Oryzias latipes: one gene and its partners. The protein of the gene in region 1 purifies or fractionates together with the protein of each later gene. This does not show direct contact. Links are inferred from orthologs where the notes say so. Each region holds a gene or a part of one and is shown in the gene's direction. Other genes may lie near its edges. The genes, in order: map3k7, hsp90ab1, ubl carboxyl-terminal hydrolase 18, ikbkg, interleukin-1 receptor-associated kinase 1, card11 and ripk1.

Region 1 (3,500 bases):
GTTTAATTCGTTTTATGCATACACAAGCCGCGTCAGAGTACAAGCCGCGCAAATGTTAGGCGATATTGTCATCCTGACCGATCACGGACAGCATCCCAGAGTGAGTGCAATTCATTAGCACATTGGGGGTGGTGCCAACTTAGCCTCTGGCTCATGTATTTGAGTGTATCGACATCTGCCAAACAGCATGGACCTCTATTCTGTTCACAAGTTCCTCAGTTATGGTGTTTTTATTTCATTTTTTTTTTACTTATTGACAATCTACGTATCATACATAAAATTACAAACAGTAACCATATAATCAACATTACATCCCTCAGTTATGATGAGGAAATTTACATCCGCGATTCCACATTTCCCATGAGTCTTAGGGGCTAAAGGCGGGGCCAATGCCCGGCTCGCCATTCTGTTGTACGTGTTTAAGAATGAGCAAGTATCAGCAGTGCATGGAGGGGTGAACGGGAAAAGCTCTCCTTCCGCTTGTGTCGCAGCAGCGTTATGGGAGTAACAGGGCTGGTTAAAAAACACACCGGTAAAATACAGCAGCGGCGACTGAAAAGCGCGCGCCTCAGCGCGATACGCGCGCCTCAGTGCGGCGCGTGCGTCAGAATTCAGAAGCCTCTGCGCTCCGCTCCCGCCCCGCGCGCTCCTTGTCTCCCCTTCCTATCTACTCCGACACCTCTGGCCAGGGCGGCTTCAGGGAGGAGCACTTCATCCCCGTTGCGCCGGTGGATGGAGCAAATAGTTTCTGTGCAAAGCAATCGGACTTAATACTATACGTTTTGTGTATGGGGGGCGGATGCGTTGTTACGTGTGGGAGCCATCAGACTGCCATCGGCCCCGCAGCTCAATCAGCAGGAGAAGATGTCTCCAGCTCACACGGAGGCTGTGAGTTTTTCAAAGCAAAATTCCGCTTTTACGGTTTCCTTAGAAACCGTAAATGGAGTGTAAATTCACTCCATGCGCTGTTCTCTCCGTCACGCAGCAAACCGGCTTTTCCAAACCCGTTGGTGACGGTGGACTTTTTCACGCTGCTTTTAACGATTGCTTTTAACTTGAAAGCTTCATCATATTGTAGCGGCGATCTGGTGCACGTTGGGTCTAATGGCACCAAAGGATTCTGGGATGCGGCCGGGCATGCGTGTTTCATTTTGTTGAACCATGACTGAAGTGTCTAAGACCTGAAGTCAACTCCATGCTGTTTGGCTGCTTAGAGGTGTGTTGAATATAAATGCCTTGTGCTTGGTGTTAGACAAAGAATTCAAACTATTCACTGAGTTCGAAAGTACGTACATGGCTGCCGCTAATTAAATCCATAAATTAGTCGCGTCACTGAATAAGCCGCAGGGCTGTAAGCGCAGGAAAAAAGAAGCGGCTTGTAGTCCGGAAATTACGGTAGTTTTTTTTTTTCTTTTCAGTTTTAGAAAGGGCCTGCTGAACATAATAGTTTTGTGTTTTTATCTGAGAAGTTTTTTTTTACTGCTTTTCAAATATAGGTTAGAGGATTTAGATAATGGAAATTGTTTTAATATCGCCTTCATTTTTATAACTGTGTTTTGTGTTGTTTTTTTGTGTGCCAAACATGCAAACAAACAGAGCAAAGACCTGAAATGTCCATGTCTCTGTGGTCTAAGTTGCAGTAAACTGATGCTGATTGGTTTAGATTCTGCTCTCACACACCAGCAGTCAGAGAGGATCACTTTGAAGGAGTTTGCTCGTGAAAGTATTTCATGTTTCACTAAGCAGTCCTTTAAACGCTCTGAAGTGGGATAAAAGCTCTGAGCTGCTCTGCTGATCAAATGTTTTGCCTCGTCTCCACTGAAAAGTCCGGTCCGGTATTTTGAGCTTTTCCGTTGTAAACTGGACCCACTAAACAGTACTGAACCGTACCTCTTGGGGAAACTGAACGGGTGAGCTTGAGGAATTGTTGTTGCTTTTCTAGTCCTCGTGCTGCAATGACATGCTAGCAGTCTGCACCACGCATGCGCCGTGAAAACAAACCGATCAGTGGAAGTGAGGTGGAAACACTCACCAGAATTAACTGGACGGTACAATACCACTCCTTACCGGACCTGACCGTGCTCGGTGGAAACGAGGCTTTTGATGCATTTTGGTCGAATTGTGAGGAACGTTTGCAAAAGTCTGTGGTGACCTTTGACCCAGCCTGGTTCTGCTGGACTCCTGCTGTGTGTACCCGGTGTGGTGACTGTGTTTCTTGTCCACAGTGCTGCATGGTGCTGAACCCCTCCCCTGTTACACTGCCTCCCATGCCATGAGTTGGTGTTTACAGTGCTCCCAGGGCGTGGCCTATCTCCATGGCATGAAACCAAAGGCTCTCATTCACAGGGACCTCAAGCCACCAAAGTACGCTCCTCCTCCTCTTGCTCTTCCTCGCGTCACACACTCCCCCGTCTCCTGCTGTACCTCACTGTACTCCACTGTTTTGTATGTTTTCTCATTACACCTCATCATGACCTTTCACTAGAATTCAGCACCAAAATTTACAGATTTTTACGACTGGAATAAAACTTCAGTTTATCTGCTTCCTATCCTTAAAATGCTGGAATTTTATTGGTTTCAAGTATCAAAAGAGTTTTAAAAATTCCTAATTATTCCAACACAGATCACAAAGTAAGGAGTGTTGTATCAGACAGCCGCTGTAGACGTTGAATATCTTTACTCTCAGTGAGATGATGCCAAAAATGCCAGTAGTTGTCCGTTTTCTTTTATTGTTCTCTTCAGACTACGGCTGACCGAGCAATATTTAATAAGAAAATGTTGAGAATTTGGTCTCTGCAAGTCACTTTGAATCAGTATTAAAAGGGGTTTGTTTTTCTGCAATGTGCACCCCCTCTAGAAAATCTGGTTTTGTTTTCCTTTAATTGTACAGGGGACATAAAAATGTAAACACACCACTATTAGAATATTTATTCTAATTTTTATTCTAAAAAGAAGAAAATTTCACTTGTTGGTCCAGACGATGACATCAACTCATTGACATGTGTCTGGCATAGTGCTCCTCATGGGTGGGGTGGGGTGCAGGGGGGCTTTTTTTTTTTTTTACCTCAGATAGGGATCAAACAAAGGCATGGGCCTTATAATGGCAACAGAATTTGACCCTTTTTTTAGGTAGGTCCTCGTTGGGTTAGACGGGTCATTTCTTCTGGTCCGAAACACGTCTGCTGTCATCAGGAGTCTTCTAAAATATTTCTGTTAAGCACCTGTGTCGTAAGTGTCAGACAGTCATCTAAGTGATCAATATTTTCTATTGACTAGACAAAGTATCGTCACACCATCCAGCCCTGCTGTAGAGTATAAAAGTACTACTTCTGAATAAACTTGGTACTACAAATAAATTACCTAGGCTGAATGTTGGTGGACCTTTAAAAATGATTAGAAAGCCAGTGTTTCTAATCCAGAGTCACCACTGCTGATTCAGATAATCCCAGTGATCCCGTCTTTGATAATCCATTGCAATCTTTTTAGGAGGAGTGACTGAT
Region 2 (4,245 bases), about 15 Mb from region 1:
TTCGGTATTCTTCCATGTGATTACAAAGACCTAGAGTGTTCGTTGATTCCGTAAAAAATACAGCGTGCTTTTAATTTTTGACATCCAGATATAGAGATTCTATACAAATACTTTTTTTTTTCAACAAAATTTTGACACATTTTTAGAATTTAGACAATTACTAAACGGAAGCTCGTAGATGTAGTTTTTGCTGTATCTTAAATAACCGCTAGATGGCAGCAAAAATCAAATACGATTGATTTTATTCTTAGTTTTGTTTTTAATATAATAAATTTATAACGTTTAGATTTTACCTCCTTGGCCAATCAAAATATTGTGCATGCTATTCCACTATAACTTTTTATCTGTTGATATAAATAATTACATATTTTTCTGGAGGAGCACAGTTAGTTCGAGAAGGAGCGCCGCGGAGGGATCTTGTCCTGCACTGAAACTCATGAGCATATAGATTCGGCGTGCAGCTCCAGAATCCTCCTTTCTTTTTCCTGCGTCAGTGAGCGGCAGGGATAGCACTTTTGTTGCATTTTATTCAAGAAAAGCCAACATAAGAAACAAGGTATGTCTTGGTAATTCACTTCATATTGAGGGAAACCAAACTTTAAATGGTTTATTATTATTCTACACCGAATGTTGAGTCATTTAACGGGTTTTTTTGTTATTTGATTTCGATTCACGTGGTTTGTTTAACCTTGATTCATCGATTAAAAGCATTTCTGACATAGCGGGTTTACTATTCTTAATTAGTAATGGGCTTTAGGTTAAATCTTGTACTAGTGACCGAAAATAAGTGGTGGGCTTTTGCCGCATCTTGTAGGCAGACAGAAGGTATGGAGATTTATTATTGTGAAGGTTGGTTGTACCTGACTGTTTAAAGAATAACATTACCATAGTTTAACGAGCGATTGACGTGTCTTTGTGTATATTTTGCCAACGAAGGATTCTAGATGGACTACTAGTTTAGAATCTTACACCCAGAGTGTGTACATCATGTACATCTTGCATAACCGACACAGGAGTGCTCGTGGTTTTTCGGGGTGATGGTAGTTTTGGGGGCTATTTTTTTGCAGTAAAGCTCCTGAGCGATAATCCAAAATCGTTCGATCTTGATATTCACGGAAGCTTCGGGTTTTTTCGGTTTTAGTCGGCACGTGCTTGCAGCGTCCATTGTCCATGCCTCGCCGCCATGTTTCGCTGCACTTCCGCCCGTATGTTGTAATCTGATGGCAGGGATCCGACTCTGAACCGGTTTCTGAATTGTGGTAGTTTATGGTTTAAAATTATTCATTAAAAAAAATTAAACTAAAAACTACAATCTTAGTAAAATAATTGGCAGTTTATTACCGTATTTTGCGTATTTGTAAGATGTTGTGCTTTTATTTTGGCGTTTCCTGTTGGTTCATCCCATTATTAGTCTGACGCTGTTTGTTGCAAACCTGTTATTTCTTATGCAGATGCCTGAAGAAATGCACCAAGAGGAGGAGGCTGAGACCTTTGCCTTCCAGGCAGAGATTGCTCAGCTGATGTCCCTGATCATCAACACCTTTTATTCCAACAAAGAGATCTTCCTCAGGGAGCTGATCTCCAATGCCTCTGATGTAAGTCTGCAGCAGTTTACGTAACATCGTATCACCTCTGTGTCAATACAGTGAAATATCTTGACGCTGAATTATTTTTAGGCTCTGGACAAAATCCGCTATGAAAGCTTAACTGATCCCTCCAAGCTGGACAGCGGCAAGGATCTGAAAATCGACATCATCCCCAACAAGGCTGACCGCACCTTGACCATTGTTGACACTGGAATTGGCATGACCAAGGCTGACCTTATCAACAACCTGGGTACCATTGCAAAGTCTGGGACAAAGGCTTTCATGGAAGCCCTTCAGGTATTAATATAAACAGGCATAAAGGGGAAAAATACATATACACATTTATATATTTTTTTAGCAGAAGTGAATACAAATTGTGGAACTTTGCCGTTTTCTTCAGGCTGGAGCCGACATCTCCATGATTGGTCAGTTCGGTGTGGGATTTTACTCTGCCTACCTCGTCGCTGAGAGGGTGGTGGTTATCACCAAGCACAACGACGATGAACAGTACGCCTGGGAGTCCTCTGCTGGGGGATCCTTTACCGTCAAGGTCGACAGTGGTATGGATCTTCAAATATTATAATTATGGTGCAACAAACTAAAATCTGACTGTGAAACATTTGTTAACCTCTACAACACTGTTCTCAGGCGAGCCCATTGGCCGTGGAACAAAGATCATCCTGCACCTTAAAGAAGACCAAACGGAGTACATTGAGGAGAAGAGGGTCAAAGAGATCGTGAAGAAGCATTCTCAGTTCATCGGCTACCCCATCACCCTCTTTGTAAGTGATTTGTTTGTTTTTTTACAAACATATTTCTCACTAATAGAAGCTTATGTGGAGTTGTACGTGGTTTATCTATAGGTGGAGAAAGAACGTGACAAGGAGATCAGTGATGATGAGGCAGAGGAGGAAAAAGAAGAGAAGGAGACCAAGGAGGAAGGTGAGGACAAGCCAAAGATTGAGGATGTGGGCTCAGATGATGAAGAAGACGCTAAAGACAAGGGCAAGAAGAAGAAGAAGATCAAGGAGAAGTACATTGACCAGGAAGAGCTGAATAAGACCAAGCCCATCTGGACCAGAAACCCTGATGACATCACGAGTGAGGAGTACGGCGAGTTCTACAAGAGCCTCACAAACGACTGGGAGGATCACCTCGCTGTGAAGGTAAAATAGAGGTTTGGGTGTCTTCTGATCGGCTGATGGAACCTCGTGCTGACGTGTGTTTCTCTTTTAGCACTTTTCAGTGGAAGGTCAGCTGGAATTCAGGGCTCTGCTCTTTGTTCCTCGTCGTGCACCTTTTGACCTCTTTGAGAACAAGAAGAAGAAGAACAACATCAAGCTGTACGTCAGGAGAGTCTTCATCATGGACAACTGTGAAGAGCTCATCCCAGAGTACCTGAGTAAGTTTTAAATCTCTGTTCCACCGGATCTGAAAGGAAATGCACAGCAGCTTTAAAACGTTTTTGTTTGTTTACAACAGACTTCATCCGTGGAGTGGTGGACTCTGAAGACCTGCCCCTCAACATTTCAAGAGAAATGCTGCAGCAGAGCAAGATCTTGAAAGTAATCCGCAAAAACATTGTCAAGAAGTGCCTGGAGCTGTTCGGAGAGCTGGCAGAAGACAAAGAAAACTACAAGAAATTCTATGAAGGTTTCTCAAAGAACATCAAGGTATCTCAAACATATCTGAAGCTTTTCTAAATGATGCCTATAAACTGATGGATTTTTTTTTTCCTGTAAACTTTTAAGGTGTGAAAATAAATCGACACATATTTAGCGTGAAGCCTTGGAATTGGGCAACGCTTGCTGCATTACCCAGAATTTAGTTGAGTAAATCGATCACAACTTTTATGTTCACAGCTCGGCATCCATGAGGATTCTCAGAACCGTAAGAAGCTGTCTGAGCTGCTGCGCTACCACAGCTCCCAGTCTGGAGATGAAATGACTTCCCTCACAGAGTACCTTTCTCGCATGAAGGAGAACCAGAAATCCATTTACTACATCACTGGTAGGTTTGGCTTCCAGTCCATATGTTCTTTTGTTGATTCTTTTGGCACGACTTAAGTTTTTGTTTTTTGCCTCTGAAGGTGAAAGCAAGGACCAGGTTGCCAACTCTGCTTTCGTGGAGCGCGTCCGCAAGCGTGGCTTCGAGGTCCTGTACATGACCGAGCCCATCGACGAGTACTGTGTTCAGCAGCTGAAGGAGTTTGATGGCAAGAACCTGGTTTCTGTCACCAAAGAGGGCTTGGAGCTGCCAGAGGATGAGGAGGAAAAGAAGAAGATGGAGGATGACAAGGCCAAGTTTGAGAACCTCTGCAAGCTCATGAAAGAGATTCTGGACAAGAAAGTAGAGAAGGTTGGTCTCAAATAAGAAACTGTGCTTTTGCTCCTCATTTCTTCACCATCATTTCCTTAACTTCAGTGGTGTTTTGTTTGGAAACAGGTTTCCTAGTGGTAACTACTTATATTGGTGAGTTCATACAGAGTAGAAGTGGCCTGTAGAGTTTCTAGCGTTGCCTGATATTTGAGTTGAAAGGGTTTGGTTTTGCAAGAGCCTGATAAGTCTGACAGCGACGTGAGTTCTAACAATGTTTGTCTTTTGAGGCTGTGTCTAACACTCGATGAAATCAGCATCACACAAACGGCCTGAACCGCAT
Region 3 (4,159 bases), on another chromosome or scaffold:
CTGAGATTTCTGCGCATCCTAACTCAGTTAAAGGTTTGACATTTCAGTCATATCAATGTGCATTGTGCTCAATTTCTTGTGCAGAAATAATGACTAGATCTTCCTAATTGTGGTTTGCAGATGCTATAATCCATAAACTCGAAGCTATGCTCAGGTTTTTATACAGAAAAATCTTGACAGCCGGTTCTGGCTTATTCCCTCTCCGGAGACTTTTCCTGATAGCTGTTATCCTCTACATGCTCTTCAGCAGACTGGATCCAGGTTTGAGAAACTCTTCCTCCTCAGTATGTTACTGTTGACTTTTTTATACCCTGTTGATTGGAAATAAATGAATGCCTTTCTTGTTTTTATTTTTTTTTACAGCTGCGCCGTCCTCATTTATGTGGATTTCCAAACTTTGTCAGCTCTTTAAACAGATGTGGAGAACCATGTTTGGACCTTATTATCAGACTCTCAGTCAAAAAGAATAATTGTGGAAACATTTAGTTGAATTGATCTAATTTGATTGTGTTTAATGGAAGGTCTTTACTTTAATTCTGTGTCTCTAACATTTGTTTAATTTCGTTTATAAATTAAAAATAATGATTTTATAGAAGTGCTTTACAAACGAGCAGTTATAGATTCTATTGCTTGATTATTAGTCAACAGCTTATTTAAAAGAGATCCATTGATCATTTAGTTAGAATCTTGAAGTAAAACCCAGGGAGGTGAACAGGAGGTAGACTGTATTTATGTTAAAATGTAGAATTTTGAAAAAACAATAGCTATAATATATTGCAGAGCACTGATTACCTTTTAGGTGTTATATTTTTAATAAAATCTTTATACCTCTAAAATTGTAGCCATAAATAAACTATTAACAATTATTTTCTTGTGTCCATTATTTTTAAGGACCCACTCCAATCATCTTTTGATCTATTTTCAAAGCCCCCCCCCCCCCCCCCCCCCCCCCCGTAATTATTTTTGCCATTTTTAGCCAAAGTAAAAAGGTGGTAGTAGTTCAAGCCTCTGAGTTGTTTGAAGGACTTTTTGGATGCAAGCCTACCCCCATTTCCCATCATCCATATGTTTACATGCTCTCCCACTAGCTAACAGCTCCTCACACCCAAGTGGTAAGGACACCTCCAACCTAACATTAATGGGCTCTGAGCCAGATACCAGCTTGGACAAGGAAAACGAAGACTTGCATGGATTATATTTGTCTGCAAGTGAATGCATCAGGCAGGGATCTTGTAGCCTGCCCATCATATTTTCAATGTTATACGATCTTTTTCAAACTGAATTTTGTTGTCAACTGCAGATTCACAATTTAATTAAAGAAATACTCAGAAATACAATTTTGAGCTTAATTTTCGTTATTTATACTCTGTTATCAGAAAAATGCATCAAGAACAAAAACTTCAAAAGCACCATTTTCATCAGAGTGGGTCCCTTAGGTGAAAATGACAGTGAAAGTGTGATGTTTTGATTTATAAAAGCAAATCCTGGGAGGATCAGAAAATTTCATAAAAAAATATTTATTTTGTAATGTTAAATTAAAAAAAGGCGTTCTTTAGTGAAGTCACGGGGCAATATTTTTTGCTGTTCCAACAGTTTTAAATGGAAATATACCTAAAGCAACAATATTAAGTGCTTAGAGATACGCAATGTTTAAAACGAGTTTTTTTTATAAATAAAGTTCGATTTTATCTGCGCATGTGCAGTAAATCCCATCTTTTTTTATTTTTTTTAACTTATATGTCTCTTAACAGGATGCAGAACACTTAACAGCTGATTTGTGGTTATAGACCTTCCTATAGGATATATGCCACGTTTTACAAATTTGCTTACTTTATAAATGGAGCTGTTAAGTTTCGTTTTACGCGCAGAGGCGGGTTAAACGAAAGCGATGCCGAGGATGATGATGTGATGAAGACTCAGCTGACAGTGCTTTGACTCCAGCAGAAACGTCAATATCACGGAAAAACTCGACAAGAAAGATTTATTCTACCAAAATAACCCGACGCCGGGTTAAACTACTCGACTTCGTTTAAAACGCAATGTCTTATGGGATTTGGAGGATTTTTCCAACGCTGTGGAACACTCAGCTCAGTAAGTTACATTTGTTGTCAACGAAGTTTTTCTTTTTCTTTTCATAAACAAAGTAGTTGAATTTTTATTTAGGATTAAACAAATAAGCAACTTTAAAAAATAAAATTATAATTTGCGCTCAAATTACACCAAAAAGGCTGATTTTACTACATTACTTTTTATAATATACATATATTGTTTTATATATGGTCTGAAGAAGTATTCAGTTAGTATACTTCCTACACTACATGTACATAGTGTATACATGCTATAATCACGTATACTTAATAAAATATACCTCAGGTATACTGCTTTTTAAATGAAACTAAAATAAAATAAAAAACAACCTGAAACTAATAAAAGAAAATCTGAAGAAAAGTAGAAATTTACTCATTAGGTTTTTTTGGGGACCTTTTTACTGCAATCACTAAACCTTCATCCTGTGTGATAAGAAATTCTTTTTTATATTATATTTTATAACATTTTTTATAAACTATCATGTTTAATTTTTGCTGTTCCATTTTTTAAGGAATGAGAGGCCTTGCCAACTACCATTTGTCCTGTTGTGTAAACACTTTGCTGCAGACCTTCTCTGCAACCTGGGAACTACTAGAACTTCTAGAAAGGTAAGTAAAGTAGTTACCATCCATGTGAAATACTAATACCTCAAGCATTGTTTGAAAAATGAAGGTTTTACATCTCATAAGACGTTTCGGTTCCCACGTATTGGTTTGTGGGACTGTTTGACCTCATAAAACCTGCTCAAATATTTGAAAAATGCAGTGGTGTCCACCTGGAAACAAGTCTTTGTTTCTTAGGTGCTAAAAAAACAAACAAACAGATAAATTAGGGCTTGTGAATTTCACAAGGTTGGAACCAGCTGTTGTGAGATCTGACAGTCGGAGCATTCCCCTGGAGCTGAAGAAAGTTCTCACGGCGATGCGGGGCGACCTCACTCAATCTGCTCCACATCGGGACTTCCTCCACTGTCTGGATAGATACTGCATTAGACGTAAAGGCCTCCACACCACATCTCAAAGTGAGATTATTGACGACAGCTTGTAACACAATTGATTTACAGTTGACACACAGCACGATGCTGACGAGGTTTTCCTCTCCATTCTGAACCTGATGCAGCAGCAGATAGATGACAGACATCTGGTTGGTCTTTAACACCCTGCTCATCACTTTTAAAGTTGTGCTATTTCTTCTTTACTGGTTGCTCTTTTGATCCCCAGGCTTTAGAAATCCAGGATTTGTACAAGATTTCAGTGGAGACCCATCTGCAGTGTCTGCAGTGCAACTCCATCAAAACCCTGGAAAGCTACCAGCTCAGCCTGCCGCTACACATAAAAGAAGATCACAACACTCTGGTGGGGTCAAATTGTTCCTCAGACCTTTTAAATTCCACATTTTTTAAAATCCAGGATGCACAGTGGTGTAGTGGTTAGCACTTCAAGGCCCTTGATACCTCTCTGTGTGGAGTTTGCATGTTTTCCCTGTCAAGACCGGTAATAGGGATGGGAAAAAAGAGCCCTCCTAAATCCTGCTGTGACTGCCCCCCATCAACTGTGATGGCTCTCAAAAATCCACACCTAATGACAAAATAAAACCCACAACATTTTCTTTAGCTTCTGTTCAATTGAATATTTGATTTAGGGGAGAAATAAAATTAGGATTTTATTCTTCCGACTGCTCCTTTCCTGTCATGAAGATGTGTGTGTAGTTATGTTTGTGTATAAATATGTTAATGTACTATGGTACTCTTCATGAAAGGAAACAAATGAACAGATTGGAAACCAAAAACAAACAAAAAAACCAAAAAAAAGAGTAAAATAAAAGACAAAGAAAACTTAAAAAAGGGACTGTTCTCTATGCATGTTTGATTTTATTTATTTATTTTTTCCTCCAGACTCTGTTTTACTCCCATGCTCGGAAAACATGCTTCATAGGTTAATTGGTATCTCTAAATTGATGGATTGCATGGCCCTGCAGCAGACTGAAGACCTGCTCAGGGTGTACCCCACTTTCAACCAACAGTGGCTTGGTTGGCTCCAGTGACCCCAAAAGAAATTAAGTGGATGCAGAA
Region 4 (3,959 bases), on another chromosome or scaffold:
CGGAAGAAGGAAAGGGGATCTTCCGGAATTTAGATTCCCTGCGCTTTACCTGACAGGCAACTTTTGACGCGGCCTAATTTTGGTGCCCAATTTTTTTTTAAAATTCCTCCAAGATGTAAACACTTCTTTATGGCTGTCTCTTCAGTTCAAACTGCTAATGTACGGTGTGCTGCTGCAAGCTAACATGTTAAATAATACAATATTGTATAAACAGATGCAAATTCTGATTATTTTGTTTTCAACATCAAATTTAACATTCTGTATACAGCACTTTTCCTACTAGAGTAACACAAAGTGCTTTTCTGACTTCAAACAATTAAAACTGAAATTATAAAACATAGAGTGCCCTCAACCCTCCCGACTGCCCACTCCCTATCTAGATGAATCCATTTAAATCCAGTTTTCCTAAAGAACTGAATCCTGTGGGAACATGAGCTGGATCCCCACATTGTTGTGTTTGTGTTACTCCCCATGTGTCATTAGCACACGGCTGGCTTTTGGTGCAGGTCAGAGGCGGCAGCTCATGTGAGAACAGAAAAACATTAGTATTGATTTTAAAAATTGGCTATTTTTACTAATTGGGGCTTTTTCAAAGTGCATACTATCAAATTATTGTCTCAGTCATGGGTCCAAAGCGCTCCAGGTTCAAGTTTTTAATCCCGTTGTCGATTCGTGGCAGACCCTCTTCATTTTATCTGTTCTGTTGTCTGGTTCCCTTCATTATTGAAGTTTTAGGATGTTTATTGCATTGATTTATTCAAGCAGTTTCTTTCATCAAGTGTCTGTTTCTTTGTGTGTGTCAACCAGTCATCCCTGATACTTGAACAAGTGTTGCAGTTTCTGCAATTTGCTTCTTCTTTGATTTTTCTGCTTTTTCTTTTTTTTTGGTATCATCACCCCCCCCCCCTAAACCTGACTTTGACTTTGCTGAGTTTGCAATGTTTTGTGATCCCACTCAACTTTCACTGTTTTATTATTTTTTTATATTTCACTGTAATATATTTGCAAGCTTTATCAATTAAAATAAAGTAGAAAATCTTATATTTATAAAACCTAATTCAGCAGGAAAACTTTACACACTTGTTCGTGCTTAAAATAAGATACTCAAACCGTTCCCCTTTCAGATCTACAAACCGGAGAACCGACACCTGAAAGGCAAAACTCAGGGTTAAAATATTCGAGGAATTTTCCGAGCTAACAACAGTCGCCTCGGCTCGGACGAAAACCCCGTAGCGAACGTGAAGCAAAGGAAGAAAAGGCCTCCTACATCCACACAGAATGTGCCTTTAAGGTTCGATAGTCTGCCAGCGTGAAGCTGTGTTTATGACAGCCGAGGAGCGAGGCCGCTTTCCCAGCCCTTCACTGCCGCATTAGCCTAGCTAGCTAAAAATTAGCCAAAATAGTGCTTCTGGACTCGTCGAGCTTCCTTCCTGGCGCAGGTTTGAGGGGGGGACTGTAAAAACTCTGGATGTGTGTTATTCTGGACAACAAAGGGAAAAAGAAGTTAAGGTAAGAGAGATCCTGTCCTTGTTTTGTTAAAATAAACTAGTATGTATGCGTCCAAACTGTTCAGAGACAGTCACGGATGTCCAAAAACCAAAAAAACATCAGTCTAGTTTGGAATTAGGTCGTTGATTTTATTTATTTTTTCTGTTAAAATCCAACTGCGTTCTCTTTACTTTCATTTTTAAAGCTATTTTAAACCCAATGTGTCTTTTATCCCGGCCTAAGGTGTGATGACGATGACGTAATGTTTTCCTTACCTGCAGTCATGTTCATGGATGACGTCCACATGTTTTTTTTTTTTTTTTTTTAGCAGAGAGGCTGAAGCCTTTAAGGAGCAGATCTGCTTCATATTTTCAACAAAAATGAGTAAAAGAATCAAAATGAAAGTGAAAGTCTGGTCCTGGTGCACATGTCAGGGCTCAAACCTGTTTCCACGCTTACGGACTGGATGTTGACTTTGACAGGTGTGTGATGATAATCCACTGTAATCCTGCAGGAATGGTCCAGCCGCAGCCCGACGGCCCCATGCAGTGGGACATGTCAGGGGAGGACAGTGGCGGGGCCCTCAGGGTCCCACCGGAGCTTGCTGGTCATGAGGTGGTGTCCAGATTACTGTGTGACAACCAGCAGCTCAGAGGTATCGCACCCACGGCTTCGCTCACACAACTTTTAACGAGGATTCTTCATCTGACCCTGTTTACGCTTTCTTTTCTTTTCAATTTCTCATCCATGACAGGAACATATTTTTTTTTTTTTTTAAAGTTAAATACATTTTAGGTCCGGCGGGGTGGAGCTCGCTTATAATCAGAGGCTGACTTCTTAAAACATTGTGGTATATATATTTTAGTTTCTGCTTTAGTTAACTCAGCTTTTTAACTGACATATTTTATACACGTAAAAGCAGAAAATAAGAGAAGCTTAATTCAAAACAAATCTATATGTGGTTTAACCATCTTTTACACTATTTTAGTTATTTACCATATTTGCCTGTTTTGTAAACGGAAAAAAATCAGAAAAACAGAAATAATTAATTATTTAGCTCCTTCATAGTTTGGACCTCTCCCTCTGGATCGGCTGCTCTTCAGCCACTGCGGCTCTGGATGGGAACCTGCATCACTGCTTAGCTGTGGTGGAGCGGTCCCCGCCTGTGATGCTGCATTTGGCTGGTTATGCGGCTGTTCACAGAAAGGGAGGTTCCAATTATTAGCGTTTCCAACATATTGTCTTCATACTTCTTTTTTATTATTATTTTTCTTTTTATGTTAATTGTTGTTTTATGTTATTTATTTTGTTTTGTTTTAATGTAAATCACTTTGTGTTATACTTTTATATGAAAAGTGCTTTATAATTAAAGTTTGATTGATTTATAGACCCACTCTGATGAAAATTAAAAATTTTTTTTTTTTTTTTTTTTTTTATCATCTTCTCAGATGTCTTAGAAAATTTAGCTTGCAGGGTATTTCTTTATTCAAATTGTTGTGAATCAGGAGTGTGTGGTGAAATGCTGTTTGACAAAGAGCTTATTTGTGATGTAGAAAATATGATTGGCGGGCCACAAACTTCCTGCTCCGCTCCATTCTGATGCATCCACTTGCAGACAAATAGATCCATGTGCGTCTTTGTTTTCCTCGTCTGAGCTGGAATCTGGATCTAAACTGGACGGATGGATAGCTCCAATATTTCTCAGCATTTTTGTCACTCCGGTAGTGTTAGGTTGGGGGTGTGAGGGGCTGTAAGCTAGCAGGAAAACGGGTAAACAGGTGAGTGACGGGAAGTTGGGGCAGGCTTACTCCACGTCAACAGTCCCGCCCACAACTCAGAGGTCAATTTTTGATGAATCGCTGCCACTCTGCAGGAATTATGTCCTTGAAAATGGCAGTCTTTTTAGATTATGGCTAAAAGTGGCCGCATTATATCAAAAAGACCACTGAGAACGTGTTTAAAAATAGATCAAAAGATGATCGGAGTGGGTCTTTAAAGGATATTTTTGGTTAAAATGGAGTGACGGATACTTCAAGCTGCCCTGAACGCACACAGGAAGTTGGTTTCATGTCTAGCAGATGTAAATACACATTCAGATGTGGTAAATGCTGTCTCTTCTATCTGTGAATAGTATCACAGCATAAGAACAGAGTCAGGGCAGCAAAGTTTGGATAAACTTCTGTGTGAGACCGAAAGACGAAAGTCGTACTTTATGTTTGCTCCTCCAGAGGCACTGCGGAGAAGCAACCAAGCTCTCCGCCTGCGCTGTGAAGAGATGGAGGGATGGCAGCAAAGAACCAGAGACGAGCGAGAGTTTTTGAGCTGTCGCTTCCAGGAGGCCAGGGCCCTCGTGGAGAGGCTGGCGCAGGAAAACCACTCGCTGAAGGTCACGGCGAACGGACCAGGCTCCTCCCCGTCTTCCGGTCTGTCCTGCAGCTCAAGTCAGACTGAAGACCTGCAGGGACGCCCGG
Region 5 (4,022 bases), on another chromosome or scaffold:
GCTTTTGGTGGCATCTAAGTAGCTTTTATGTAATATACATTTATATATATTTATACATATATATAAATACATAATATATTATACATAATATATGTATGTATACATCATTTGTTACTGTTAAATAAGAGAAACAGTCAACCTTAAAACCTCAAACTTTAATGAAAAATGCACAGTTGCAGAACTTCTTGAAGTAAAGAAATTATTACAAATAATTTCTAAAAATAATTTTAGGCATTTAGAAGTTTTAGACCTCTTTGACATGTAATTTAAATTATTTAGAAAGGCCCAACAATAATTCGATAAGAACAACAATAATAATAATAATAGATCATAATAAATCAATAGTGAGTCAATAAAAATAATACATAATAGCAATAAGTAAATAATAAGTCAATTAATAATAATAATAAATCAATAATAAGCAAATAACTAATAATGATAATAATAATAAATCAATAATAAGTCAATAAATAATAATAATAAATAAAATAAATAAATAGTACATCAACAAAAAGTCCAAAAGTTAACAATAGATTTACCCTAAAAGAAAAGAAAAACCAAAGACAAAAAATAGATTTACTGATTTATGTGAGTGATGAACTTGTGTAACACAGATGGTATGGTGTCTGGTTTCAAGCAAACAGTCTGGCCTCTCATCAAAATGTGTTTCCACAAAATGTTTTGAACATATCCAGACTGTATTGTTAGTTGGTACCACAGTGATCCATCTGGGTTAGCTCTTTTGATAGCTATTAAGGTCCACTTTCCCTTAAGTCTGAATTCATTGGAAACCTGCAAGAAAAGTTCAGTCACTGAGTCAGAAATGTATAAATCTATGTTACTATAATAGAATACTCCTAGTATACTGTATACAGGTTTAACACAATAAAGTTTAAATTTATGTCAACAGAAAATTATACGTACATTATGCAGCATGTTGATAACAGCCCTGCAGCATCATGCATGTCAACATGTGTACTATTAATGAAGCCCCTGCAGCATTAAAAGGAAAAAATTATAGTCCTTACCTGTGAAATGTTATGCCTTCCTCCTTCACTCATTTCTCCGATTTTGTCAGTTGAAACCCGCACAATGAACTGGTATGTTGCAAAAACTGTGTTCACATGCTTGCACTGCAGCAGTGACTTGACCTCACCAAGATGGCGATGCTCTCCTCCCATGAGGAATCACGTGATGTCTCCTCTAGCGATAAAAGTCATTGGATATAACTCATTGACAGACAAAAGCCCTGCGACCGGAAGTTCACTGAATCAGAACTTCTGAACTGAAGGGAAACTTGGGTGTGTTCCGGGCGGCACCGGCACCGATGCAACCCACGTGGCTGTGGTTCTGGCGTAACTTTTTTACCCACCATCCCCAAGAACCGAGCTCAGTGGAATAAAACATGTCGGGAGGGTCACTGCGGGGGGAGTTCCTCCACAAACTGCCCTCCTCTGTATTATGGGAGTTCTGCCGGCTCATGGACGGGCTGTCGGACCTCGACTGGACCCGCTTTGGTGAGTCAGAACCAGAATTTAAACTTTGTGCTTATTTGTTAACAGTTAAGGGCGCCACAGGTGGGCTTCACGTAACACGCGTACTGCTGTTGTCACGTGACTGACTTGGGACGTCGTCAGGTGTTCCTCACGTAATGTTTCTTCAAAACGGTGAATGTACAGCAGGATTCCGTGTTTACATTGATGTCTAAAAAAACGAGACGCCCTCGCAGTTGTTTGTTGTTGTTTCTGGTCGTCGCGCTCATTTCAGGAAGTCAGACACGTGACACGCAGCAGGCGCGTGCGACCCAGTCCTAAAAAAAACCAACGCCAACAGTATCACCATCATTCCCTGTTCGCCCCCAGACCAAACCTCTGTCTCTGGAACATCAATGTACCTTCAAAAGGTTTTTTGGAGTAACATTACTACAATCTGGAAGCTGCTGGGGGGGGATACACAAACACACCCTATACCTGAAGGAATGAAATACCACACAAAAACTGAAACTGTTAATGAGAATTAAATGTAGCCTGTGGAGGTGGAATCATACTGAAAAATAAAGTGGAAAACCTCTACAGGCTGATCCAACTTCAATTTGAAACAAGTCAAAATGCGTCTCAGTAGTGGGTGTGACCTCCACTTATCCGTATGAATCGGAGGATGGTCTCCCAGGGGATCTTCTCCCACATCTGGACCAAATCTTCCACCAACTCCTGGGCCGGCTGTGGAGCAACCTGGCGTTGGTGGATGGACGGAGACGTGATGTTCCAGTTGGATTCAGGTCTGGGGAACGGGCGAGCCAGTCCATTTCTTCAGCACCTCCGTCTAGCACAAGGGGGCTCATTAGGACGATCCATCACGAAGGATGTCATGGTAGATTGAGGGCCATCAAAAAAATTATATGTTGTGAAATATGTATTTTTTAGTAATTATTCGTAATTATCCGCATCGTAAACTTGATTGACAAGCAGAACATCCAATCGAACCTCCTCTTCACTGCACACAACTGTTTAAACACACTGAGCGCCAGACGCAAGGAGAAAGTGGGCGTGTGTGTTAGCCTGGTGACAGCTCAGACTCTTCCTGGAAGGGGCTGTTCTTCACTTTGTAACATCGCAAGGAGAGAATTGTTTTTGTGGATTGTCAGGGGCTGGTGCTCAGAGAGCAGGTTTTGAGAGGAATACAGTAAACCCTTGTTATTCGCGTGGGTTACGTTCCAAAAAGAACCCGTGATAGGCAAAATCCGTGAAGTAGAAACCTTTATATTTTTTTTACAATTATTATACAATTAAATACTCTATTATACATTGAAAAGAAAGAACAAACCATTTTACAGGCTCAAGCATTTGTGTCACAAATAAAAGTACTTTAGAAACGTGAAACCGTGAAAAGTAAACCGCATACCGCATTAGCGAGGGATCACTGTACTCATAAATGCATGAATTGATCAAAATACCACTTTTTTTTCGTGAGGAACAAACATTATAATAAACTAAAAAGCTCAAAAAATTATATAGCATGATATAGGCCCGTTAATGACACCCAAACGACAGAAGAAAGAAGCTAAAAGTCGACAAAAATACACAGAATTAACAACCTGTTTAATGCATTACATGAGGCAATCCACAAAAAGTGTATTCAAGACGAACAGCAATTGTTTTGAGCTGATCCCTGTGTTGTTTTGGGGTCTGCTATAAATCTATTATCTGCACAGAAATATATACTCCATATATATATATGCGACTCCACCTTGGGGCCGTCCAGCATCAGAAACAGAACCCCTCTGGGAAAACACTAGAACTCTTTCATCAACTCTGCAATCACTGCTTTCAGTTTCTCACAGTAGACTGGACTGAGTTTTTTGTTATCTCCCTGTTTTTACATGCTTTACATTATTTAGGGAGTTTTTTGTTACTGCAGGAACTATCCTGTTTTATTGTGTTGAGACGAAAAAAGATCAGTTTTTTGTGCCAACCCGTTGGAGGGCGTCATTACTACTGTACACCACATCAGAGGAGGGACAAGGCAGGCAGACGCCACTCTACAGTGGAAACGATGTCGCCACAATGATGTAAACAAACCTCTAAAACTCTAAATTGAGACTGTAAACTTAGGACTGATAGTGAGAAATGAGAAAACCAACATTTAAAATACAAACAGCAGCGATTACAAATTCTTTTTTTTACAGTTTTAGGTTGATAGTTTTTTCAGTGTTTCTTCACTTTTGAAATAATTTTTTTTTTCAAATATACAATGCATTTTTCAAAATTTCAATATTTATTTATTTATTTTAACTTTTTATTTTACGTTTTGCACTTTTAAAATACAACCAAGTAACAATAAGAAACCACAATCAAGTAAAGTAAAAAATAAAAGATAAAAATAACTAATAATAATAAAATGCACAAAAACAAAATACCAAAGGTTGAACAAGTGGGGTCCAACAAAACATAGTTTTGAGTTTTAAGTTCTGAGCGGGATGAATATTGCTTCCATTTCCTCCATTGGAGTTGACATTTTTCAGC
Region 6 (3,500 bases), on another chromosome or scaffold:
GGCATTTCTCTTATCATCATATATACACATATGTATGTATGTGTATGTGTGTATATATATATATATATAAAATAAGCTTAAAATGGCATTTCTGAGTATTTCTTTTTTCAATTTTATGTCAATAGGGGGCAGATGAAAATGAGCAGAGCCTATTTGTGTCGTAGAAAATATGCTGGATGGGTCATAAGCTTCGTTCTGATGCATCCACTTGTAGACAATCACTTACATGTTTGTCTTTGTTTTCCTTGTCTGAGCTGGAATCTGGCTCAAAACTGTACGGCTGCATAGCTCCAATACTGCTTACCATTTTTGTTGCACCGGTAATGTTATGTTGGGGCTGTAAGCTAGCAGGAGCGCATGTAAACAGAGAGCTCTCAGTAATGGGGAAGGGAAGGGGGCGGGGTTGCTCCATGCCATTTTTCCTGCCCACAACGCAATGGTAAATTTCTAATGTTTGCAGAATTATGTCCTAGAAAACAAGACAAGTTTTTTGTTTTTGGCTAAAAGTGGCATAATCAAAATGAAAAGACCACTGGGAACAGTTGGAAAATAGATCAAAAGATGATCGGAGTGCATCTTTGAACTGTGTCACAGAAAACAGGAAATACGGATCTCTGTTAATTTGCAAGTGAACCCTGATGTGGTCACCACAGTAAAGATACAATGGACTGTTCTGTGGGTTAAAGAGAGGAAGTAAACTTATTGAAATCACAAAAGTGGCTTCAAATTTTAGGCGAAAATAAAATGATCCACAGCTAAGATATGAAGGAGTGTGGATCACTACAGTTGGATAAATGGCTAGTTTGTGGATGAGGATAATATAGACAGGAAATGGGTTTAAAAAATACTTTAATAGGATGTATAGTTTAACTTAAACTGCGTGATATTTTGATTCCATCTAGACTTATTCAGTTTTCTAAACTTTAGTGTGAAAGCAAATCAAACCATTTATTTTTTTCTGAACTTCCAGTCAAATCTAGTCTTCTGGTCTGTCTTGTTTTAAAAGTGCGTTAATGCTGTGTTTCTGCTCTCCAGCATATCGCCGTCTCCAGAGGGATCTAGCAGATGGTAAATTAGCTTCTGGCGACTCTTTCTACATCCGAGTAAACCTCAACATCTCCGGACAATCCGACTGCTGCTCTTTAAGCGTGCGCTGCGATGAAGTTGTGCACGTGCTGGATACCAGGCACCAGGGCCTCTGCCAGTGGCTTTGTGCTCGTGTGGAGCCATTTAGTGGCTCTGACCTGGCCGAGCGTGGCACCATTCCCAGCAACTCAAGGTACTTTGCAACTGTTTGTTTAATGTTCTTTCTCATGCAGGAGGATGTTTTATAATGGACAAAAGGAGTTTTGGTTTTGTTAAGACTTTTCTCTTGGTATGAATGGGTGTGTACAGAGCACAGCAGCTGCTGCTGGTGAAGATTCAAAAGTTGGTGTGTCGAAGTGGGAAAGAAGAAATTGACAATAGCAGAGTAAGTGAAAACTTGATTTTATATTCAAGCTACATATTACACAAAACAATTGTATAGTTTTTCATATCAATGCTATTTGATTTCAGCAGACACTTAGTAAGTTAGCTTCGATTTGGGTCAAACACTGTGTCTTCTTTACCTTTTGCAGCTTAAAGATTCTGATATTCTTTCTATTAATTCTTTATGTTTGTCTAGAACACTTTAGCGCCAGAAGAAACAAGCTCGTCTCTCGATCCCAAAGCCAGTCCACGCTTGTCCAGAGCGAGCATTTTCCTCAGTCAGATTCTGCAGGTATTTAAAGAAAACCAATCCCACTCTCATGAGTCAATCTGAGCCCTGATGTGCCATTTCTTGTGGGTTTCTTGGGTTTCTAGTTCGTCGGCAGGGTGGACATCAAATACAAACGAATGAACAGCAATGAACGCGTGAGGATTGTCAACTCTGGCAGCTCATTACTACCAAGACAAGAACTGGAGATGCTCAGGCCTGAAGGTGAGCATAGAAACAATGCTTTTCATGGATGTAAGGGGAATGACGGACCTTGGTTTGATTTTAGGACTAGGGATGCCACGATTCTCAGATAAATCATTGCATTCCTGTTTAGGACCTACTAGGACATAAAAAAATCAAAATCAAAAGTCTGGAACCACAAAGCCTAGCATAAATTCAGATATTCAGATATTTATGTCAAACTGAGAGAAGCTTAAAGGGAAATAAATATATTCTTCTTCTTACTGTTTGATGGTCAAGATTTCTTTAATAATTTATTTTAAGGTGGCAACTATGTTGTATTTATAGACTAATTCATATATTAACGGAACCAATTGTCTCTGATGTTACCTGTAGGATTCTAAATGATGAACATGAATGCCTAACCCTTGTGCTATCCTATGACCCCACCCTTACATTGACGTGTTCTCCCTACCATGACAAAGGTGGATAACGGTGAAGAGGATTTCATGTAATCCATGGACACCAGTGAAGTTTACAAATCATTGAAGAAAAAAGTTCAGGGGTCTAGATGACCCAACTTCCAATGTTAAAGTGCCTAGGATAGCACAAGGGCTAAAAAAGTGGCATGAACATACAGAGTAACTCCTATTCACTCAACAATTGGAGAACTGTCAATCAAGAAAGACCATAGAGATTCTGTTTTTTTTAGGCCACCCAAGACTGCAACCTTCACCCAATCACCCAATCTGCCTTGATTTCTTATAATTGAAAGATAATCCCCTCCCTCCCTGCTGCCCCTAGAGCTGCAAATAAAAGCACCAAATATTAAGAAGTGTTTTTTGACCAGGCAGAGCACAAGTGTATTTTTTGTGTGTTATTCTGCTCTGAACCTTATTTAACACAGTGGTTTACTGGAAGGTTTTGAAACCTGCCTCTGGTGGTTCTTTGAGGAACTGCAGAAGTAGCCACTTCCTAGTTTGATTAAAGTTCTCAGAAAATCTGTTTTTATTTTGTAACATCAGTATTACTTACATCTACCATATAACATTTTTCTGAAGGCTGACTAGAAATATTTATGTTAAGCTTTTGTTAAGCTGTGTTATTGTTTTATTAATTCATGGCTGATGCTCTGTAGGCTGATGAATTCATTAGAAAGACAAAGGAGAAAAACTCTTATCAAATTAGTGAAAAATAGATGGATCTCTCCAGGAGGCAGAAAAAGTTTTAGATGACAAAGAAAAAATGAAAGCTTTGTTTGTGTGGGAGTTAAGACTTGTGCTCTAAAAAACCAGAGGATCACACATAGAAAATGAAAGATTTCTAAAAATAAAATGTGAGAGCTAGAAGGGGGTTGAAGTCTCGGTGGAGGTAGAAGAAAGCTGTTTGAAGAATAAGATGAAAGCAAAGCAAAAATGTCTTTTGAAGTAAACAGAGCAAGAGTGTTTGAAATGTTAAAAAAATTACATTTACTGGTAGACTGTAATGTCTTTACCATTGCTTTGATTACCAAACGAAATAACAAAAGAGCAAAATGTATGAAAAAAATAAAACCTCAAGTTATAACAAATGAAACCAA
Region 7 (3,134 bases), on another chromosome or scaffold:
CATAATTGCATTTTCTGATATTGCAATAATGGCAAATGTTTGATTTATTGTGCAGGCTTAGTTTACTTAAATGATTCTGAAACCCAATAAACCTGGTTCACTCAGCGCTCCGTCTTCTTAGGTCAAGGTGCCCATTTCCATCAAAGGCAGAATCATCCTCGAGGTTCTGGAAGGGATGATATACCTTACAGAGAAACGTGTCATTCACAAGGACATCAAGCCAGAAAACATCTTAGTGGATAAGGATTTTCACATCAAGGTAATGAAAAAAACTTAAGTCATAATAACGCCTAGCTTATTAATTCATTCATTTCCAGACACTAAATATTTCTTTTTAGATTGCAGACCTCGGCCTGGCCACCTGCCAAACATGGAGCAAACTCACAAAGGAGGAATCTCGCAGGAAAAGCCGTAGTGGACAGACATCCGGGGCTAGAGGTGCCGGCACGCTAAGCTACATGGCCCCGGAGCACCTGAGGAGCATCCACACCCCCTCCACTGAGAAGTCCGACGTTTACAGTTTTGGAATCGTAGTCTGGGTCATTCTAACGGGGGAGGAGCCATACGCCAGTGAGCTTTGAGATCCGTACACACGTTCAAAAGCTTTTTCCAGCATGAACGTTGAAGTTGCGGGTCCCCTGCTGCACCTTTTTATAAAACAAGCAACCGAAAATGTTTCTGTGCAGACGCGAGGAGTGAAGACCAAATAAGCCGGTGTGTTCGTGACGGAGACCGACCGGCAGAGGACCTCATTCCTGAAGACACACCTTCAGAGGTGGTTCAGCTTATGAAGCGGTGCTGGAGCGACAATCCAGAGGAGCGACCTTCATTTAAAGGCACGCGTCTCTTTGTGACAGACGCAACATGCAGTTGTTAAAACAGTGGAGTTAGTTTTTTTATGGCTCCAAAAGGATAGACGGACTTCTTGAAAGACACTACTCACAATAAGTTTGGGATATTGTTACTAACATGACTTGTTTTCCTATATCGTCACAATTTTGATGAAATATGTAAAAGTTCCCTATGATATTACTACTACCGTATTTTCCGGACTATAAGTCGCACCGGAGTATAAGTCGCACCAGCCCAAAAATGCATTATAAAGTAGAAAAAAACACAGATAAGTCGCACTGGACTATAAGTCGCATTTTAACTTTCACAACCTTATATGACACAATCAAAGCAGACTGTTTATCTAATAATTTCACAGTAATTTATTCTCATGCATACTTATTTATTTATTCCTTTCATGAAGCATCATTGGCCAACTAATACTCTGTTTTCATCCTGTATTTGTAGAAACAGTTTTTACTTTTATTGCATTTCTGAATCTATGAAATCATTGGAAAATAGAATATTATGTTGTTAGCCTTCAAGATCTTACTGTAAAAAAAAGTTTGCTGATTCTCTGAGTCACTTAACATCCTCTTAACACTTAACATACCTCATACAACAAATTGACCCAGGAACATCATCTCTGTTCCTCACAAATGCACATAACAGGAGGGTTAACAATGTATTTATTTCAATTTATTTCTAATATAAGTCGCTGCGCCGTATAAGTCGCACCCCTTGCCAAACTATGAAAAAAAGTGCGACTTATAGTCCGGAAAATACGGTACTAATAATAATAATAATACCATTTTCATTAGTTTTATATTTATTACCACAAATTAAGACCATAATAACAATGGCCCAGAATAACAAATATCAACTATTTCCACCATGACAGCTTGACAGTGACTCGTCACGAGCCTCATAATACGGTTCTGAGGAAAAGCCTTCCACTCCTTTACGAGTGCTACATCCAGTTCTGCCAGGTCACTGGGTGTGGAATACGATCGTCCCAGATGTGAGCGTTGGGGTTCAGGTCGAGGCTCATTGCTGGACAACCCATATGAGGACCTGCCACTTCCTTAAGTTGAACTGTGACAATTCTGGCACGATGTGGTGGAGCACCAGCAGCCATGAACAGAAATTTGGGGGGGTTGCAGGTAGAATTGGGGGATGATGGTGAGCTCTATGGTTTTGAGGTAATTACGTGCAATGACTAATGATGCTTGCTCAGACAGACTGATGCAGCTCCTCTATCATGTCGACCTCTGCGTATCGCTCACCTCACCCTCTCCAGCAACGCTGACGACCAGCAATTCTGTGTGAGGTGACCCGACACTCATGAGTGAACAGGGCAGCAGACCATTGCTGGATTGTCCAAGTCACATGGTCTCGCACTGCAAATGTTCACGGCGGTGTCTTGGTGTCAGTAGAGTCACCTGCAACAGTAGGCAGGTATTATAGTCAAGGCGGTGGAGCTGGTTGGGAATGGTTTGTCTGGAAACCCTAGTCCCCCCATCACATCTGGTAAATGGGCTTGCAGCTGTGCGGCGTTTGCTAAACCGTGTTGGAGGTCAGAGGTCCTTAGGTTCTGCTCATGGTTGCGGTCTGTCACTGGGTCTGTCCTGAACTCTGCCAGTAGTCTGCTGATGACACTTTGAGACAACCTCACCTGCAAAATCTGACCACCGACTACTAACCTGAATGCACGCTATGGCCAGGTGCCGCTGCTCGTTTGTTAAGTGACACTATGTGTTCATGGCTGTTTGAATGACCTCCTGACAAAAATCAGCTTTTTCTGTTTAAATAGATGCCCCATTGAAAAGGTTTTCCTTTTAGAATTGTTTGCTTTTGGTCCCTATGAGTAATCCACTGAGTTTTTCACAATATCCTTAACTTATTGTGAGTAGTGTAACTTCTCGCAATTACTCTAACTTTTCTTTTTATCTTTTTTTGCAGAAGCCTACGACATTTTCTGTCCTTTTTATGCCAAAAATCTGGAACCCCATATAGAGAACGATTTACAGGATCTGAAGGTGAATCCTTTGAGAGCAACCATTTAGGTTTAGCTTGAACAGAATTTATTTTTAACATTTAGTTTTTTTTTTTTTTTTAGTTTGGAGATCATCACAAGCAATTACTGCGTTAAATATATGAATGTATTTTCTTTTCTTTTTGCAGGAAAACTATGAGGGCCCAATGACACTTGTTGAGAAGATGAAATTACTGTCTGTGAGACATGACAGCTTTTTGACAAACGAGCAAGGTTGGTCTAAGTTTTATTCCAAACAAATCCTTGA

What was found.
Region 2: the proteins of map3k7 (region 1) and hsp90ab1 purify together in Homo sapiens (affinity purification with mass spectrometry; 3 studies listed by BioGRID and IntAct, with this or other methods). This does not show direct contact. The link is inferred for Oryzias latipes from reciprocal best matches to the Homo sapiens genes MAP3K7 and HSP90AB1.
Region 3: the proteins of map3k7 (region 1) and ubl carboxyl-terminal hydrolase 18 purify together in Homo sapiens (affinity purification with western blotting; 4 studies listed by BioGRID, with this or other methods). This does not show direct contact. The link is inferred for Oryzias latipes from reciprocal best matches to the Homo sapiens genes MAP3K7 and USP18.
Region 4: the proteins of map3k7 (region 1) and ikbkg purify together in Homo sapiens (affinity purification with western blotting; 8 studies listed by BioGRID and IntAct, with this or other methods). This does not show direct contact. The link is inferred for Oryzias latipes from reciprocal best matches to the Homo sapiens genes MAP3K7 and IKBKG.
Region 5: the proteins of map3k7 (region 1) and interleukin-1 receptor-associated kinase 1 purify together in Homo sapiens (affinity purification with western blotting; 5 studies listed by BioGRID). This does not show direct contact. The link is inferred for Oryzias latipes from reciprocal best matches to the Homo sapiens genes MAP3K7 and IRAK1.
Region 6: the proteins of map3k7 (region 1) and card11 purify together in Homo sapiens (affinity purification with western blotting; 3 studies listed by BioGRID). This does not show direct contact. The link is inferred for Oryzias latipes from reciprocal best matches to the Homo sapiens genes MAP3K7 and CARD11.
Region 7: the proteins of map3k7 (region 1) and ripk1 purify together in Homo sapiens (affinity purification with western blotting; 5 studies listed by BioGRID, with this or other methods). This does not show direct contact. The link is inferred for Oryzias latipes from reciprocal best matches to the Homo sapiens genes MAP3K7 and RIPK1.

The regions. Positions count from the first base shown.
Region 1 is NC_019882.2:20,585,333-20,588,832, reverse strand, and holds part of map3k7 (mitogen-activated protein kinase kinase kinase 7), read left to right. Parts: intron 1-2,225; coding exon 2,226-2,364; intron 2,365-3,500. UniProt on the Homo sapiens protein: Serine/threonine kinase which acts as an essential component of the MAP kinase signal transduction pathway. Plays an important role in the cascades of cellular responses evoked by changes in the environment.
Region 2 is NC_019882.2:5,881,900-5,886,144, forward strand, and holds the start of hsp90ab1 (heat shock protein HSP 90-beta), read left to right. Parts: upstream 1-1,445; coding exon 1,446-1,595; intron 1,596-1,676; coding exon 1,677-1,883; intron 1,884-1,986; coding exon 1,987-2,146; intron 2,147-2,234; coding exon 2,235-2,368; intron 2,369-2,449; coding exon 2,450-2,752; intron 2,753-2,822; coding exon 2,823-2,988; intron 2,989-3,068; coding exon 3,069-3,259; intron 3,260-3,448; coding exon 3,449-3,596; intron 3,597-3,675; coding exon 3,676-3,944; intron 3,945-4,031; exon of another isoform or gene 4,032-4,058; intron 4,059-4,245. UniProt on the Homo sapiens protein: Molecular chaperone that promotes the maturation, structural maintenance and proper regulation of specific target proteins involved for instance in cell cycle control and signal transduction. Undergoes a functional cycle linked to its ATPase activity.
Region 3 is NC_019881.2:17,754,356-17,758,514, reverse strand, and holds the start of ubl carboxyl-terminal hydrolase 18, read left to right. Parts: upstream 1-1,359; 5' UTR 1,360-2,039; coding exon 2,040-2,091; intron 2,092-2,599; coding exon 2,600-2,696; intron 2,697-2,939; coding exon 2,940-3,082; intron 3,083-3,151; coding exon 3,152-3,231; intron 3,232-3,308; coding exon 3,309-3,443; intron 3,444-4,159. Other genes in the region: pex26 (peroxisome assembly protein 26), read left to right, coding at 1-33, 121-261, 364-470. UniProt on the Homo sapiens protein: Interferon-induced ISG15-specific protease that plays a crucial role for maintaining a proper balance of ISG15-conjugated proteins in cells. Regulates protein ISGylation by efficiently cleaving ISG15 conjugates linked via isopeptide bonds.
Region 4 is NC_019865.2:4,851,536-4,855,494, reverse strand, and holds the start of ikbkg (NF-kappa-B essential modulator), read left to right. Parts: upstream 1-1,159; 5' UTR 1,160-1,509; intron 1,510-2,002; 5' UTR 2,003-2,004; coding exon 2,005-2,143; intron 2,144-3,716; coding exon 3,717-3,959. UniProt on the Homo sapiens protein: Regulatory subunit of the IKK core complex which phosphorylates inhibitors of NF-kappa-B thus leading to the dissociation of the inhibitor/NF-kappa-B complex and ultimately the degradation of the inhibitor.
Region 5 is NC_019865.2:30,205,417-30,209,438, forward strand, and holds the start of interleukin-1 receptor-associated kinase 1, read left to right. Parts: upstream 1-1,222; 5' UTR 1,223-1,405; coding exon 1,406-1,517; intron 1,518-4,022.
Region 6 is NC_019866.2:18,997,846-19,001,345, reverse strand, and holds part of card11 (caspase recruitment domain-containing protein 11), read left to right. Parts: intron 1-1,035; coding exon 1,036-1,279; intron 1,280-1,395; coding exon 1,396-1,471; intron 1,472-1,666; coding exon 1,667-1,762; intron 1,763-1,845; coding exon 1,846-1,963; intron 1,964-3,500. UniProt on the Homo sapiens protein: Adapter protein that plays a key role in adaptive immune response by transducing the activation of NF-kappa-B downstream of T-cell receptor (TCR) and B-cell receptor (BCR) engagement.
Region 7 is NC_019875.2:26,469,443-26,472,576, reverse strand, and holds part of ripk1 (receptor-interacting serine/threonine-protein kinase 1), read left to right. Parts: intron 1-121; coding exon 122-259; intron 260-338; coding exon 339-570; intron 571-686; coding exon 687-836; intron 837-2,793; coding exon 2,794-2,870; intron 2,871-3,015; coding exon 3,016-3,100; intron 3,101-3,134. UniProt on the Homo sapiens protein: Serine-threonine kinase which is a key regulator of TNF-mediated apoptosis, necroptosis and inflammatory pathways.